Yarrowia lipolytica: one gene and its partner. The protein of the gene in region 1 interacts with the protein of each later gene in a pairwise test. Links are inferred from orthologs where the notes say so. Each region holds a gene or a part of one and is shown on either strand. Other genes may lie near its edges.

Evidence for each region. The genes of interacting proteins can lie anywhere in the genome.
Region 2: the proteins of YALI1_E25761g (region 1) and YALI1_E01904g interact in binary tests that used the Saccharomyces cerevisiae proteins (3 or more experiments, as listed by UniProt). The link is inferred for Yarrowia lipolytica from reciprocal best matches to the Saccharomyces cerevisiae genes AKR1 and STE4.

What each region holds. Positions count from the first base shown.
Region 1 is NC_090774.1:2,573,841-2,579,835, reverse strand, and holds YALI1_E25761g (uncharacterized protein), read right to left. Parts: upstream 3,680-5,995; coding exon 1,571-3,679; downstream 1-1,570. Other genes in the region: YALI1_E25812g (uncharacterized protein), read left to right, coding at 1-1,179; YALI1_E25729g (uncharacterized protein), read right to left, coding at 4,820-5,995. UniProt on the Saccharomyces cerevisiae protein: Palmitoyltransferase specific for casein kinase 1. Palmitoylates isoforms YCK1 and YCK2 at both C-terminal cysteine residues, which is required for their proper plasma membrane localization.
Region 2 is NC_090774.1:188,112-193,227, reverse strand, and holds YALI1_E01904g (uncharacterized protein), read left to right. Parts: upstream 1-2,822; coding exon 2,823-3,965; downstream 3,966-5,116. Other genes in the region: YALI1_E01935g (uncharacterized protein), read left to right, coding at 1-1,244; YALI1_E01885g (uncharacterized protein), read left to right, coding at 4,507-4,608, 4,672-5,116. UniProt on the Saccharomyces cerevisiae protein: Implicated in the a- and alpha-factor response pathway. The beta and gamma chains of the putative yeast mating response pathway G protein play a positive role in initiation of the mating response.

The DNA.
Region 1 (5,995 bases):
GACGGTGACGGTTCTCGTTCCAAACGGTCCAAACGACATGTACGGGCTCAGCGCAAGAACTCAGGATCATGGTCTTTCAGCCAGGAAGATCTCAGCTTTGACAGACTGTGCAAGGCTGCTCGGGAACAGGCCTATGATCCTTCCAGGTATGCTCTGACGGGGGTGTATGGCTTCTCCGTTTCTGGGGCAACGCAGACGTGCGTGTCTTGTTGTTCAGTCTACAATCTCACTGACGGGCCCAAGACACTTGGCCACTTTTGTCCTCGGTGCCACAGACATGCTGCTATCCACAGCTTTGCCTGGCCGTATACTAACCATAAGCATGCCCTTCCCCTGTGTCTGCTAATGATGCGGCCTCCAAAGAAGCTTGAGGACGAGGACTGGGGTCTCTCCAAGCCACAGGTGGCTCAGCAGTTTGGTGCCAAAAATCGTAAGATTTTCGAGGAGGACGGTTTGTTGGTGCAGAAGAAGCGCAAGTCGCTGGCCTGGTCGTGGGAGTACACCAAAGAGGAGCCTGCCCAGGAAATCACCAGTATGCGCATTGAGGACATGAGTCCGAAGGAGCTGAAGAAGTGGAGTCAGGCCGGTCGACAGACACGGTCTGGACGGGTTTCTATGCTGCCGGAGAAACCCAAGCGGTCGAGAAAGTCGGCTCCTGAGCCTGTTGAGATGCGGGACAATGTGGCTCAGCTTTCACGAGAGGAACGAGCTTGGAAGAGAGCTCGAAGGGGAACCGTGGGACATGAGAAAGTGGAAGTAAATACTCCGACAGTAGAAACTCCGTCAACAGGCACCCCGAAGGTGAAGAAGCTACATTGGAAGCAAAAGCTGGCAATGGAGAGGAGACAGAAGGAGGCGGAGGAGGCTGAGGTGGCTGAAACCAGAGTTGCGGACGGTGTTGATGCATCTACTCCTAGTCCTGCTGGGTCCACGCCGACTCCTAGAGGAAGAGGTAGACCCCGAAAGTCTTCTCGGGAAGAAGAAATCCCTCCCGAGAAGACACCTGAGGCGAAGAGACCGAGTCCAGCAGCAACTAAGACTCCATCGATGTCTCCAAAAGTGAAGAAGGAGCCTCTCAGTATGTCGTTTTCAATGTCTCCAACGAGCCGGTCAGGACGGGTTCGAAACCCCACGGAAAAAGCATTGCAGTTGATGGAACAGGGAGAGTATGTGATTTGAAGAGGAGAAAAGGGGAATTACTAATGGTCGGATGGGTTGGATATGTATTTGTACTGTAAATTTATTATGAGTTATGGCTATTTGGCATACAAGTACAAGTATGGTGATCTTGTTTAGGTGGTGTAAAACTTGTGCGTCTGAAAGTTTAAAAAATAAATACTAGTACATACTTGTACTTACTACTTGTAGTAGAGAGACTCAACAAAACTCAGTAACATTGATTGTAGTTTTGAGTGTCTCTTATGAGAAGTACAAGGAGTACTCAAAAATGAATTTCTGTCATACTGTATACTCAAATATTTGCACATGTACAAGTACAAGTACGTTTCTCACACACTCTCTCTTTATACAAGCTTATTATATACGTTAGCGTTCCTCTATCTATCAATGCTCAAACTTGAGACTCGGCCAGAAGAGCCTCTCCATCTTCTCGAGTGGACCGGTTGTTGGTCTGCTGCTGGTTGGGAGACACATCGGGGAAGTCCCACAGTTTGTAGTAGTCCACCGCATGGCCTCCAATGGCTCCTCCACCCTTACCAGCTTCAAACACTGCCAGGAGGTCAAACTTGCCATTAGGGAACCAGAAGTCGAAGCAGTTAGTTCCGGCGCCCGAGTCGGTGGGGTTCTTCTCCTTCCACGACCGATTGTCCCGATGCTTGATGGCTTCACCTGCAGTAGCCACAAACTGATCGACTCCAAGCAGTTTGAGCACCGAGGAAAAGCAGGGCGACTTTGCAGCGTGTCCATGGGCGTTCATAACGGACTTGGCTGATGCTGTGGCGGCAGAGTGGTCTAGAGGGACCGACGAGTAGTCATCAGCACCCATGTAGCCGTACTTTTGCAGGTTGACGGCTTCGGAGGTGGTGAGTGACCTGCAGATCTGGAAAATCTGCACAAAGGACAGGAACGTGATCCAGATGAGTTGCAGTGAGATCCAGATGACAAGGTAGAACTCCAGGGGATCCCATCGCTTGATTTCAAGCAGCTCTCCAAAGTAGGCGCTGTTGAGAGCCAACCAGAGAGGAATGCCAATCTGCAGAAACAGCACGTAGAGCACAAACATGCGGTGGTTTCGGACTCCAATGGCGTTCCACACCCAGGGGCAAAAGTGATCGAACCGGGCCACGACTCGTTTCGACTGTCTACAGAACTTTGACCGCAGCGGCTTTCGCACGTAGGTAACGAAACAAAAGTGTCGCGTGTCAAACTCGCCCCGCTCAATGAGCGTCTCGATGACCTCCTTCTGCTCGGTGATGCCAGAAAGCTTGGGGATATATCCGGGGTCCATGGACATGCATCTGAAGAAGCAGTACATGGCCAGACCAAATATGGAGGCGAAGAAAAAGTTGAGAATGGGGTGGGAGGCAAAAGTAGCCGGAAGGACGGAAGTTAGGTACTTGACTGTCACCCAGAAGGCCGAGCCCGTGAATATACCTGCCTGGAAGGGTGATTTCAGTAGAGCAGCATGTCCGTTGTAAAGAGACGGTAGCACAAGTGTCTTTAGCAGTTTAATAGATCCGAACAGGGTCGCCACGGTGAGAATGATCCCAAAAATGGGGCCACAGAAGGTGCACAGCACCAGGCCCAATAAAATGAGAATGAAGGGGGTGAAGAAACACAAGAGATTAGTGGTTCGGGCGTCGAAGTATTTTGTTTTTTGGCTACCGTCGGGGAACCGTCCACAGTCGTCGAGAGCGCCCTCCAGCTGTGCGGTGGTGTTCATTTCAGCGGCCATGACATGGGGAGTTTTTCCGTCACTGCTTTTGGCGTACATGTCGGATCCTTCTTCGATGAGACGGGCAAGCGAGTTTCGCGAGCCGTTGACAATACCCCAATGTAATGGCAGAAAGCCCTGGGTGTCTGTGATCTTCACGTCCGAGCCCCATCTCAGCAGCACGTCTACCGACAGAGCGTCTCCCTGGTAGGCTGCCCAATGCAGAGCGGTTCGCCCATTTGGGTCCTGGCAATCGACAGGAAGGCCCTGATGCAACAGGTAAACCAGCAGCATGACGTTGGACGAATGGGTGGCGAGATGCAGAGCGTTGTAGCCTTGGACGTCTGATCTCAGCGGATCGGCTCCGTTCTGGATCAGGTAGTGTACAATGTACACCAGTCCCCGGCGACAAGCCCAGTGTAGTGGCGTGCCATTCAGCTGGCCTCCTTTGGCGTCCACCACCGCTCCCTGTTCTACCAGATACTGGCACGTGCTGATTCGGTTGTTGACTGCCGCCCAATGGAGAGCAGTCACTCCATCCTCAGCGGTGTCCAGAACCGAATAGCTGCCCGATTCACATAGCCGCTTGACCTCGGCGGTGTTGCCGTCTCGGGCTGCCACCACCAGCGGGTTTTCCTCCTCTTCCACGTCACTGGTGGCCTCTTCGGCGTTGGTAGTCGACTCCACTTTGCCACTGGCGGTCACTCCTTCGGTCTGGGTGCTCGGGGCGCTTTTGGACGCCACCGAGAGGCCCGAGATGGTCTGTAGTTCTGCGTCGGTGCTCATGGCGTGTGAGCAAGCTGGTTGAGAAGAACTTGGTGGGTGTGGGTGAGGTGTACAGGTGTGTACAGCCTACTTACGCGTCTGAGCCTGTACGTGTGTGCAGTGTATTTGCGCTATGTCCCAACACCACCTTAATCCACAGGCAAGGGCAGAATAATCGCCAGGCAGACGAAGGCAAAATAAGACAAAGTGAAGCAGCTTAGAGTGGTCTTGCCTGGTACATGGAGCTGTAAAAAATAGAGATAGTTGGAGGGCGGCAGTCCGTCACGTGACGCGCCATGAGCTCCCGCTCCGCTTAGCCGCTTCATGCACAGCCACGACTCAGCCTCCAACTAGTAGTCTCGACTCTTGTACTGCACCTCCCACATTGCCGGCTTGGCACCTCCTCGTCTGTAACGCTCGCCAGGGGCATGCAATCAGATTAAATTTTCATTTGGCTCTGTTGGCAAAAAAAGTTCACTAAAATCACGGATTTACGCACCGAGAAAAAGCAAGTTGCAAGGGTCTAAATAAATCACTGTCCCCGAGACCGGGCTGTACGTACAGGTAGATTGATCTGGCGAGCACTACTGTAGATAGCAAGAAGGGGCATTAGTGTTGGTACCTGAGCTGCTAATTATACAGCATGTAGCTAGCTACAGACTGTAAATACAAGCCTGTACATACGATAGGTGTACGAGAGCGCCCTGTCGCCACAGCAACCACTTCCATGCAAAGACCATACAGCACAACGCCGTGTATGCACCGTATGAACTGAAGCTCATCCGGAGTACGGGTTGTACAGTCCGTGATACAACAAAAGTAAATACCAGCCATTTAGTAATAGCGTGAGGTATTTAGAACCAAGTGGTAACGTGTACACTGGTACATTCTGGTCATTGGGACCTTCTCATCCCTCGTCCACCAGCCTCTCTAAAAGTGTGCGACATTTGATAGAGCACATAGAAGAGGCATTTCAAATCATTAGCAGGGTTCAAAAACAGGAGGGTTCACCAGGTCCGTCCACTTTGCTTTCCAATACAGTTCGAGACATCGTGTGACTGCAGCTACCGCGTACCTACATACTGTCCTTCTTGTAGTAGCTCGGACACATTCTTTGATCAATCGTTATTTAGCCGTGTCTACAGTGTTCTAATTGGCCCTCTACTTGAGTCTAGTAAGAATGTCATCGACCTCTGCTGTCATGTCCTTCACCATAGACTTGACTCTCAATAGGCCAGGTTTGAGAGAGCCCAATTTGCCTCCTTCCTTTTGCGAAAGATTGCCCACTAACGCCACAGCTCGGTAGATCATCTCCACCTCTGTATCTTTGTCCAGAATGCGCTGCAGACAGGCCATCAGCTTCTCGTTCTTGACCATAATGGGAGGAGCAGGATCCCACTCGGACAGCATGGCTAGAGCACCCATAGCCGCTAGACGTCCCGCTTCATCAGATAGATCTGTCAGAGCAACCAGTAGATTGAGACGCGAGTTGGCTGCCTTACTTCCGTCAAGATACTTCTCGGCACAGTAGGGCGAAAGCGATAGGTTGCAGACCAGCTCCACGGCACTTCGTTGCACCATGGGGTTCTGCGAAGTCATCATGTTTTCAATCTTCTCCCATCCGTGGCTGATAATCACCTTTCGGGTGGTATCGTCAAAAGAGGCGAGATTGGTTAGAGCTAGGGCAGACTCGAATGAATCCAAAAGAGGGAGGGGCGAAAAGTCGTTGTCTATGTTGGCCAACAGAGGAATGACAGCCACCGAGGCTGAGATTTTGGCGCCGAAAACAAGACTAGGATTGGTAGAAACCAGTAGCTTGGCCAGCCCCGAGGTGATGAATACCTTGGAGGCGGGCTCCAGCTGCGCGTCAGTGTCGCAAAGTATGTACAGAAGCGTAGCCACCGCTCCTTGCTGCGTCAGAACGCCTCTCAGACTCTTTTGCTCGGCCAGGGATGTCAGAATAGTACCTGCTACAGAACGAGCATTGGGTTTCAGCTTGTTAACTAGAGCTGACAGAATAGCTGGGATTTTCAAGTCTACGAGAATCTTGCAACGTTTGTCAGTCTGTTTGGTGATCTGTGCAAGCTCCTCTTCTTTCTCCTGGACAGCCTCGGCATACTTCTTCAAGTCAGCCACTTTCTTTTGATCAGGAGACAGACGAGGAGGATAGACTGCCAAGTTGGCAAACACAGACAGGGCTCCGTAGACCAGCGACGAGTCGTTGGACTTGAGACACTCCACGAGCTGTTTGAGCAGCTCGTCGTTCACAATGATGCCCATTCGCACATTCTGGTCCAGAGAGGTATACGCGAGACCCTCCACAGCCTGTTTTCTGAG
Region 2 (5,116 bases), about 2.4 Mb from region 1:
GACTGGCCTCCCTGCCGTTAGTAGAGTACGCCGAGGAGCCTGAGCCGGTCCAAACCATCAACCACAACCTCGCACCCGAAGCAAGCCTATATGCAGACATCTTCCCTGACGGAACGCTGTCGATATCCCGAGCAATATCCGACGAATACGAAACAAAACTGTGCTTTCGCCGCCAGATTGTCTTCACCCACAACTTCCCCATCTATCCACAAACCTATGGCGACTATGCATCAAATGTGTACACCCCTCCGGTAGACGGTGTTCAAGAACTCAATTACGCCCGCAAAACGTGGTTTTGGAGAGTAGTTAGAAATATACTGGAGGATGACCGTGTAATTCGCCGCTTCCACGTGTCCAAGGCCATGTACGACGGATATCTCACGGCTCTGCTTCGCTTACGCTCCACTAAACTGGCTCCAGGCATGTCTCCCGAAATGGAATGGCATCGGTTGGGTCACTCGGGCAGCAGTAGTGCTGGCTCTACTTCTGACTCCAGTACCGGCTCCATTGGCTTGTGTGAGGAATACGAGCTGTTGCGACAAAAGTGCATTGCTCCAGGTCGCCGGAATAACATCAAAACACAATCTATTCGCATACACATGCCGTGTTCCGAGTCCGCCCGTGTATTTGTGTACGGCCACGACACCTTTATTTGCATTTCCAACTCGCTTGAGGACCCTGTGTTGAAGCGGAATGACTTCTTCTGGGTTGACTGGGCCAACAGTAAGACGTTCCGTCTCTGTTCAACGATATCCCCCCATGGCCCCACGCATCCGCAACATCAGCATCATCCCTTCATAGTAGATAACCGCTTCTTTTTGCTGTATCGAAACCAGCTGGTTGAATGGGCCATGAATGCATCTTCTCAATTTGTGCCGATTGGTAAGACCAGGCTAGACCTGTCGTACAGACGCGACTTTTCGCTGATGCCCCTGCTCGATACCCGCACCCCTGTCATCACTGGTCAGATGTTTGTCGACACCAACAACAGGAGTTACTCCAAGGTGACGCTGGGAGACTCGTCCAACTCATTCCACGTGCTCGGAGTGCTCAATGGGCAGAAGCGCGACTGGACGTACCAGTATCTGCGGGAGCTGACGGAGAAGCTAGCCATGTACCGAATGCCTCTCAACACGTGGTGTCATTTGGACAAGATCTTGCCGCATGTGGTGCTCAGTGGTGGTGTCCAAGGTGAAGAGCAGGAGCGGATTCGAGGAGCAGTCTCGCCCACGCACTCTATATAAGCCATCATTTTTATTTAAACATAGACCCTTGATTTTTCACCTAACAAAGAAGCGACGATCAACCGAGTTTGATAGGCGCGGGGAGATGGAATACGGCAGGAACACAGCGATAGGGTTGTTTTTCGTTTCCTTTGGGCTACTCCTGAGTACAGTACAGTACATAGTACAAGGCCAATGTTGTACCTTGGAGGGTGAAGAATGTCGGGCCCTGTACACACTGTGGGACTACTTCTACATCTCTATACCATAACTTGCCTTGACTCACTGACGATCGTATAAAATATTTTTGTCTCATTACATGAGAGAATCTTGTTGGTGTAGATTAAGGTGTGCAAGGCCAAGCATGAAGACTTCCAGGGTCTATTAATTGGTTGCATTTGCCCGCTATTTTTGGCTGTCAAAAAATATTGGTTTCACCTCGACAGAACGCATAACAAGACCTTGCTCTGTGTCAATCTTGAATAGGCTTGGCCTGTGAGTTGCTACGGCCCTTCGATGGCTCCATTAAGCTGTTACAACGGCCGAGAGAAGCGCCAATGGTACAAGTAGTGACTTTGAGCTTGCCGGCTGCAGTATGGTTTTCCTTTTTCCAATGTGCAAATTGCCAGTGTTACATCAACGGATAAAGTTGGCGGTGGTGTTGCTGGAAAAGTTGAAAAGAACACAATAGCAGGTCTGATCGGGTAATGGGCACTTGACGGTCCGAATCGTAGCAGCTCAGAGTGCCATTTGTGCAGGAAATTGTGTAAATCTACTCCACCTAATCGCTTCCTCCACCCCTTGGAGAATTGTAACCATGAAGAGACTCCAGTGGGATCTACAGGTGTGTGTGAGAAGCTGCACTTGATAATAGGCCGAGGTCGGTTCTCTACAGCAAGCACAAACCTCCGCATTCTAATAAAATAACGTCATTTTCACCATCTTCATACGCCCCTGACCGTCACTTCAACAAGCTCTTTTAGATTGGTGGTGACAAGCACATGTATACATGTATACATACTCGTCGTCTACCCGGTACCTTATACTAGCGAGTCTACAGAGCGAAGATCATAAAGGTAGATTACACAGCTGAGTCTCCTCCTTCGTTGCTGTTGGGGCCGTTTGATAAAAAGTGGTCCCATTGCACCTCCCATCTTCGAACCCTGCATAATTTCTTCATATTCGGCAATTGACCATATCTGGTCTATAGGAACAAGTCAAGTGGTGGAGCATCTGTGGGGCTCAACGAGATAATTACACACGATAACACACACACAATATTTTCATGCCAACTAAACTATACTTTTATCCTCCTGATCAGCACAGTAATGATAATATTTGCCAAACGTTTTATTATTTGAAGACCCACTTATGTAAATTTTTTGGGTGTTCCGTTTGTGGCCCTTCCTTGTGTCGCCTTGCTATATGTATATTGTATATTACTCCGCATCTACTCCGCATCTACTCCGCAGAGCTCATGCAGTAAGCATGCACGCAGCTATAACGGGGAATCAATGTGGCAGACACGAATTGGTATTTGCATGGTGGAGTCCCCCACACTAGAAATTGCAACCAACTTGAACTCATCCACGCGCGAAAATGACAGATATTCTCCGGCCAGATACTCCCCCCTCCCCCACCGTTGAAGATCTCCATGAGCGGCTGTCGTTACTCAAAGGCAAATGTGCCGCCATGAGAGAGAACATTGTTCATCAGAGAAGCCAATTTATGAATGCCACCCTTCCAAGTCTTGCCACAGACCTCCGGCCCATCAGTTCAACCCCCCTGAAGGTGCGACACAAACTCAAGGGACACAGAGGCAAGATAAACAGCTGCGACTGGGCCTCCAACTCACAATATGTGCTCAGTGTAGCTATGGACGGTCTGGCTCTCATGTGGGACGCCTACTCGTCTCTAAAGTCCAGAGTCTTCCTTCTTCCAAGCTGCTACGTGCTCTCCTGTGCATTACCTCCCTCGTGTGGCTACCTGGCATCGGGTGGTCTAGATAACAGGGTCTCAATCCACTCCATGACTCAGTCGGCTGATGAGACAGACCCTTCTGTTCCCTACGGTTCAGGGTCGTCGACCAGAATGAAGGGACTTACCAAAAGCGAGCCCATGGCCATTCTCAAGGGACACTCTGCATATGTGGCGGACTTGTGTTTCCTGACTGACCAACAGATCATCTCAGCCTCCGGAGACATGACATGCTGCATCTGGGATGTCAATACAGGCCGACGTGTTTCGACCCTGTATGACCATCTAGGAGACGTCTCTTCTGTGACCAAACACCCCTCTAAGATGCAGATTGTCGCCACGGCTTCCAACGATAAAACAGTCAAGATCTGGGATCTCCGAATCGCCAGATGTGTCCAGACCTTTCAGGGGCACAATAAGGATGTAACTTCAGTGGACTTCTTTCCCGATGGAAATGCAGTTCTCTCTGGAGGTGACGATTCAACTGCAAGACTGTTTGACATGAGAACTGATTGCCAAATGAACATTTATAGTGCCCCAGACATAATGTCTCCTGTCAACTCGGTGGCTGTAACACCCTCAGGACGGATCATGTTCTGTGGCCATGACACAGGTGAAGTGGTAGCTTGGGACACCATCAAATGCACCTACCTCGGCCCAATCACGAAGCATCTTGGTCCTGTTACCAAAGTAAAGGTCTCCCCAGACGGAGTGGGTGTCCTATCTTCTTCTTGGGACGAAACTATGACAGTTCTGTCTCTGTAAGTGGAGGTCTACGTGTATGCAGTAATAACATCACATCAACCCGATATGAGAAATAATATGAAGCGGCTACAGAAGGTGCATGTCTATGTGTGTGCTGCGCTTGATAGTCGGTGGTATAATTTTGGTTTAATTGTCTACAAGTACAAGTACAAGTACCATACCATTGTTGACCAACACTGGAACACACTCTCTTTAGGTAGCTACTTGTACCCGGTTTAGATGTCATAACGACGCATCGAATTTGACCTAACCCCCAAATTATCATAAAAAAGGCCCTCCTACCAGATAAAGAATTGCCGGTTTAGCACTCCTGTCTACTCATTTCCACCCTTAATTGCATTTTAAATGACATAATGGCACTTCAAAAATCTGAGTTTTAAGGGGTCACGTGACACTGATTTTAGCTTGGGAGATTCTAAAAAAAGTTCAATTAAAAAAAACCCAGCGATGTGGCGCAGCGGAAGCGCGCAGGGCTCATAACCCTGATGTCCCTGGATCGAAACCAGGCATCGCTAATTTTTTGTCAATTTTTTTTGCTGTGATGGGTCATGATAAAGTTCTTAATCTGGGGCAGACGTGCAGAACAACAACTTTCATTAACGCATCCACCAACACCTTTTTGCACCAAATCATGGCACTACTGGTGAGTATGGGGAGAGGATAAGGCTTCCTAAGGGTTGCAACGAACACAACAAGCACTAACCAGCTCTGTTTTGCACATTTCTGCGACTTGCATGGCCCGACTTCGATACTGTGTTGTCAGAAAACGAAGGAGACCACACCAAACGAGTGTTCGACGTGCGCAAATTGCCAGCTGATCCTGCCAAATGATGCCACAACTCTACGATCTAATATTGGCGAGCACACATACGTGTCTTCTCAATGTGCCGTCGGGGAGGATGACTACTCCAAGGTTCGAAAGGCCTGTCTCAAGCTGCTGAGTAGTGAAACCACCTTCTCGGATACTCCTCTCATGTTTGGCGACTCATCTGGAGCCACCATTGGTTACGTGTTCAAGGTGAACGACAACGAGTCTCGTGGTGGGATTCGAAAGTACGGCTTTCTCTGTCTGGGGGAAGAAAAGCGTCTGATGGACAACTGGATTCCCATCACCGAGCGATTCGAAAGCATGGGAGGATGGATCAAGACAC